Linked DNA regions of Schizosaccharomyces pombe. The gene in region 2 interacts genetically with the main gene of each other region. Each region holds a gene or a part of one and is shown on either strand. Other genes may lie near its edges.

What was found. A genetic interaction does not mean that the proteins touch.
Region 1: mutations in sod1 (region 2) and atg20 together harm fitness less than expected from each alone (positive genetic interaction), as found in Schizosaccharomyces pombe (one large-scale study listed by BioGRID).

Annotation. Positions count from the first base shown.
Region 1 is NC_003421.2:881,372-885,133, reverse strand, and holds the start of atg20 (sorting nexin Atg20), read right to left. Parts: upstream 1,763-3,762; 5' UTR 1,743-1,762; coding exon 1,599-1,742; intron 1,541-1,598; coding exon 1,432-1,540; intron 1,313-1,431; coding exon 1-1,312. Other genes in the region: ubiquinone-binding protein Coq10, read right to left, coding at 3,474-3,762. UniProt on the Schizosaccharomyces pombe protein: Required for cytoplasm to vacuole transport (Cvt), pexophagy and mitophagy. Also involved in endoplasmic reticulum-specific autophagic process and is essential for the survival of cells subjected to severe ER stress.
Region 2 is NC_003424.3:1,002,218-1,005,388, forward strand, and holds sod1 (superoxide dismutase Sod1), read right to left. Parts: upstream 1,384-3,171; 5' UTR 1,247-1,383; coding exon 782-1,246; 3' UTR 621-781; downstream 1-620. UniProt on the Schizosaccharomyces pombe protein: Destroys radicals which are normally produced within the cells and which are toxic to biological systems.

The DNA of each region.
Region 1 (3,762 bases), on a different chromosome or scaffold from region 2:
CGCAACCATCGTTGTAAATTTGTTTGTGCCCATTTGTAGATACATTCATGAACAGATTTAATTATTTCTTCCCACTGCGACGTCTGACATTCTTTGTAGAATTTAAGCTCTGCATCCATGAATTCGTCAATTTTTTGACAATCCCAATTTGCAGCCGCTAGTTGATTCTCTATGGTATTCTTATGCTGCTGGAGACTTTCTTTGCTAATGGAGGTTTCACCTTCTACAAAGTCATGTAAAACGTTTTGTAAGCGACCAAAAATTGTGTAACCCTTTTTGGCTTGGGAGACAACTGCTCGTTGAATAGTATTCAATCTGGTCGCCGGGTGTATCGTGGGTGAAGCAGCTACCATAGAGTCGGTAGCAGACATTGTGTTAGAGTGGATGAGCTGGTCTTGAAGAAAATCTCGCTGTTGTATCTTCAATTGCTTATACTTAAGAGCATCTGCGGCACACTTCGCCAGCTGCATAGACTGAACCATTTTTTCATAGACGGAGGAATTAAATTCTTGTTCGAATTCCTTGGCGTACATTCCGCTGAATTCAAAGGCATTAGCAATCACTTGCAAATGATTTGCTAATTGTATTTCATTGAGAGCAGTCAAAGAGTGAAATGCCGATCCTAACTTTGAAAGGCAAGACTCCATTTTAGAAATACTAGATAAAGTTGAATGTATGGAAGGACTCAGACTATGATGAAGGAATTTCCGACAAACAATCACTTCTTGAGTATAGGAAGTCAAATCTTTGAGTACTGGAGAGGGTGCGTCTTTACCATTAGAAATGCTGGAACGACGCTGTGTGGGAGATAACTCCGAAGGTGAGCTATTGTAATGTGGAAAGTCTGGTGCCGTTGGGGTAGAAGGACTTTCATTCAATTCATGCGTAGGTTGCATATCGCTTGTTGGGGGATGACATTCATCCTCAGAGCCCAAAGGAGAAGAAGGTTCTAAACTCGAAGCAGTTGAAGGATTAGATAAGGAATGGATTGGCTTTAATGCGCGAGACGAAGGGGGACTTAATGAGTTGGCCATTACAAGTGGCATGGAAGAGCGCAAATGAGCGAATGGGTCATGCTCAGTAGCAATAGGAGGAAGGCGGAGTGGATCAGTATTTGAATCCTTTGGTAAATCTAAAGATGATAAAGTCACGTGCCAAGAAACAGTGCTATGAATAAACTTATCGAAAATAGGATTGGAACGAATGCATGGATGCAAAAGACACTGACGAAGAAACAATTCTAGCATCCTGGAGCGAAAATTTAAGAATTCAGCATCACTTTTAGCTTTTCGTGGATGTTTGGCATAACTTACTAAACAGCGGAGCATGTGTGTACAATGAATTGCACACAGCCCATGTTAATAAACGTTTGAAAAGAAAATGAAAAAACGCGATGAAAGATATTATATCTAAATATATTGGAAAACTTACAAAGTGATTGTTTTCCCGGTATAGGAGGAACAATTGCAGCGGGATACTGCCGACGCATCAACTTAACCAAGGACTCAAAATCCGAATATCTCCGCCAAACGGAACGCTTCTACAGTATAAAAATTAGCAGCTAAACTCATAGATACCAAGGATCTCAAGCCACATACCTGGTGTACAATTTCATACTCAACATACGAACCGTCCGAGGAAGTTACTGTACCGACGATCTGGATTTCAGTTGAATAACCACTTCCTCCCGAGTCGCTGGATATAACTTCAGGTTTCTCTTCGTAAGAATCGTCTTGTGCCATACTTCTTTAATCGATTTAATGGAGAAAGAAATGTAGCTAGTTCGTCATATAAGTCATGGCTTTGCAGACTGGATTGTATTTCGTTGTAATATGATAGAGATCGCAAATCAATATACTTATAACTACGTTATACTGTATATGAGAATGGATTAGATAGCGTTATACTGAATGCATTGTAAAATGGGTTTCCATAAGGTCAAAGAAACAATCAGAACTTTAAAATGACAGGGGAAACCTATGTATATAAAATACGAGATTTCGAAAAAAAAATAGATTTTGGTTTACGTGGAGAATTTCTTAGTACTATCACAGTAAACAAGTAATGCAGTTGTAGAGGAGATTTCTTTTTAAGGTTATGATAGCGGACAGTGATTATATTATCCAGTATATATTTCGAAACATCTTATCAAATCACTATAGTTTAATACCGATGGCTGTTGTAGCTATCGTTAACTGGATTCGTTTGGTTATATCGTGCGATGTAAACAATGCGGTATAAATAAGAGGTATATTATAATAAAACTTGTTTTCATCCTCGAAATGAACTAAATTAATAATTTATTTTCAATGATAAAAATTATTCTAATTTCACTATATAAAAATGCTCATGGATAATTTCCACAACTTCTAATGGACCTATGGAATGGTGATGCTATAGTTTATTTCACGAAAAAACAGCTAGAACTTTTAAGGCTCCATTCAGCAACTTTATATACTAAGTAAATCCTTATAAGTTAAAAGCGATAAAAGGATTTTACATAAAAACACTTTGCTTCATTTATTTACTGGAGAAATACTTCCCGTTAATGCAAATCGGCAAACACCGTATTTGCATATTGCACAGTTTAATAGAGCACGATATTAAAATGTTGGTAAACACAAGATTGTTTTTCATAAAATTCGTTTCTGTAGCTATAATGGAAATCATGTCATGTTTATCATCGAAAGAAAAGTCGACTATAAAGGTGCTCCGGGTATTTCATGAATTGTCTTACTTAAATGATTTTGCTTTCCCTAGATATATCTCAGTAGACCAAATTTGATAGACTTTTTAACAACGATCATCATAGATCACTTTTTCTTTCCTTCAGGGATTCTTTACTTTTAAATAACACTTGTGATTGTTCTGGATGCATTTTGAATGCAAATCTTCATGAAGCATTCCATAACCAATTTCACCTTCTATTCAAAAGCAAGGAAGGATAATTTTGTAAACAGTTGACCTTCAAGGACTCCTGATCTCTGGTTATCAACTTTAGAGGCAAAGCTCATCCGCAATATTTCAGCACTAAATAGAAAGAGAGACACCCCTATAATTATATATATTTGGTTATCAGTGACTCAAGAAAAGGAAGGCATATTCAAGACATATTGTTAAAACAAAAAAAAAAATACAGTTTCGTCAAAGTAAAGTTTCTTTAAGAAATGAGAATTCCTCCTAAGCTCTTGATTTAATAGTAGAGAAATAATTTACCAAGTTTTTTGTTGTGCATCAAAAAAATTGCAGTAAAGCAAACTATACCATGATATTGGCGAGTATCCAAAAAAATGAAATAAAATAAATACATAAGGTGAAGAGAAGGATCCAAAATTTAGCTTACTGAAGCCATGATTTCCTAAAAGAAACCTTTTATAAAAATATATCCTTCTTTGGTTGAAAGAGAGACGATGGAAAAACGCTGAGATGGAAAGAATAGCGGCATAGCCCCTTTGTATGCAGGATCATTGTAATTATTTCTCATTTTCTGATTCTAGCTTATGCTTTATTTTAGCCTGTTGGACGAATCCTTGAATGATTTCAGAAGCTACAGAAGATCCAACAAACTTGCTCATCATGCCATGGAGTTTGCTTGCAAATTCAAAATCCACCTCTAAATCAACACGAACACGTCCCCGAGATGCCTCTTCAATACTCCAATGTGTTTTAAGCCGCCGGAACAGACGATGATGGGACGCGTCTGCCAACACGGTTAGGGCAACAGGATCACAAACCACCTTACTATCAAAAGTTTCACACAAT
Region 2 (3,171 bases):
TTTTCTTTTTTGCATCTTTTTGAATTAGTTGGTTATTATTTAACCACTTATTTTATTAATTGTTCACACTGGATGTGAACCTTTAGACTTATAGAATAAAATTTATTTTAAAATACAACTTGTGCAGATGTTTTCAGTTTACACAAACTTGCCTGTCGTTATTGTTTAGTTGAAATTAGTTCGTAAAAATTCATTGATACGTAAAAGTAATAACAAAATCAACAAAGATGAAACGATGGTATTATGATTAATAAAAAAAAAGGCTTCACCCATTAGAATTTTAACAAGATGTGTTGATATTGCTACTATGTGTGTATCTATTAATCAACATTCTATATATCTTTTTTTAAACAATACGAAAAGCACTTTCTATCATCTTTATGCACGAACTCAACGATGCAAAACAAAGTTTTCTGACTAAAAGATCAAAAATTGTTGCTGCTTTTGCTTCTTCATTATCAATACCGAAACAAAGTTACAACAATTCCTTCTAATTAACTGAATTTTATGTAAACTCGAACGCAGAGTCTTAAGGACAAAAATACATCACTACATTTTTTTACACATATAACATAATAGTAACAAACAGCTTCCACAAAGCTACAGTACTTATCATCATCAATTAAATTAAGTTTTTTAATACAGAACCTATAGAAGCATAATATACGGAACTTTTCATAAAAAAAAAGAAATTTGAGATCACTCAACTAAATGATAACAATACTAACCAACACCTAAACCCACAGCCATTTGAACAAAAAGACGTAAAAACTCAATAAATTTAGACGGCAATACCAATGACACCACAAGCGTTACGTGCACCAGCGTTACCAGTCTTCAAAGACTCTTCACTAGTACCCTTACCAAGATCATCCTCACCGGCATGAATGACAATGGTACGGCCAATGATGCTGTTGGCACCAAACAATGAGATAACAGAATCAGAGAAAGTAGTCTTGATGTTGCCCTGAGCATCGCTTTCCAAGTTACCAAGATCACCAACGTGACGAACAGCGGCGGTACGGTCACCGTGAGTCTTACCCTCTGGGTTAAAGTGAGGACCAGCAGAGGTACAACCGTTGGTATTATCACCGAATTGGTGAATATGGAAACCACGCTTGGCATTAGCGTCATTGCCAACGAGATCCACAATCACAGAAACTTGAGAGTTTTGATCGACTTGTTCAAAAGTAACGACACCACTGACCTTAGAGTCACCACGAAGAACTGCTACAGCTCTAACCATTTTGTATGACGATAATTTACTTTAAAAAAATACAACAAGAGAAGGGGTGTTTTGAGTAATTAAGTGTTTTGAAGGAAAATCAATAAGATTTTAACCACACTTCAAAGTTGGAGATTTCGAAAATTTTGTTTGGAATTGGAAGAGGATAGGGCGGCGTGTCATCGCTTATATAGTAAATAGCTCCACGCGGAATATACATGAAATTTTAACGATATCAACTCAAATCAATTTTTCGATATGACCAATGTTTTTTTATATTCTAAAAACGAAGAAATTGTCTTTATACTTATCGATTTAACAAATTTGCTTTACAAAGCATTGTCTAGTCCGTGCCTTCGAGCCTCCAAAATAGGCCAATAAGCTACGCCGAGCATCACCTCAGCTTGGCGTTGGCTTACTCCACCAGTATTCGTAATCATATTACGTGCTCCTTCGCGGAATTGAAATTCCGCTAAAGATGATAACGCGCCACTCGAAGAATAAATAACGATATCTAAAGTTGCGGTAATAGCAATCGTCGTTCTCGTTTTCGTAGACGTTAAAACATTTAGCGTAAGGTAAGAATGACCACGTTGAAGTAAGGTCGCTAATGGGGGTAAAGATCTTCAAAGAAAGGGAAACTTGAGTAGACAAACATTGCATAGAGATTCAAATGCATAGACTAGCTAAAATATCAAACCCCCATTTGGTTCAGTAAATCCCACTAGAGTTCGCAGAATAAAAGTCCTACATGTATATAGATTAGCGTTTTGAGTCTAGGTGTGAAGAGCCTAAGGCCGGTCGGTAGACTTGCAAAGCCCGTTCGTTCACGGAAGTTGTTAGGAGCAATCGCTTGTAACAGTCAAATTGTTATGAAGCTTCAATCGACGTGAGGAGGATAATAAAATTCGCTCTAGAAAGAAATATTCGTGAACTCATAATTTTCCCATAATGAACAAACCTCTCAGTATGCATTTTTGAGAAAGAATCGCAAGTACAACTGCTGATAATATCATTGAGCTTTTAAAAAATAAAATAACATAACCATAGTAATGCTTTGTACTAGGAAGCGAGTGACACTATGGTTATTTTGGAGTTAAAAAAAATCCTGATGATCTGTTTTGCAAATACGTTAATCGCTTCTATCCATCGATCTACCTACATATTATTTTGGTAGAAAACAGAAAAAGTTCTCTGAGGGGGACGCTGTTTATATAAGAAATTTGCCAAGATGTATAAAGTATTATGCCGAAAACAGTAATTACCTTGAGCTACTTATTTTATATGACTTATTTTTGCTATTCGTGAAGTAGCAATATGAGACTATTTTGCTAGTGCGCGAAAGAAATGGCTCATTACAAAAAATAGCGTTTCGCATAATACTAAAGGCGGTATATTCCTAAATACAATTCTCTTAATCATTCTACCGTAATTGGGTACATTACGATATGTCAGCAATACTACACTACGCTATGATACACTACGTTGCGTATCACTATATGTCATATGTTGGAATACTAGCTAAGATCCGTTTATTGATAATCACGGGTAACTATCCGTCTATATACATAGATACCCGTTGATAACAACTATTTAGAAATATTATAAATAGCGTTACAACTGAACCTCGTTCCTCAGTTCAGTTATGAGCTATATTAGTGATAGGTAACATTATAGCCCAGTTAATACAATACCTATACTCAGTTGCTACTTATACAACCTGTGTATTGTAATATAATAGACCACAAGGAAAACTCACCGCAGTTCTTCGTATCCTTAAATCAGATACCAAACTGCGTAGCTTACACGATACACTTAATAACGCATATCCTCAAAATACTTTAACTCTTGGCAATGGGATTGATGAGTAGAATGTGTGCGATTTATGCTCATGATTTGTACAACTTGACTTTGGAGAGGTAGTCAAGAATTTTCTGTTAGTGTAT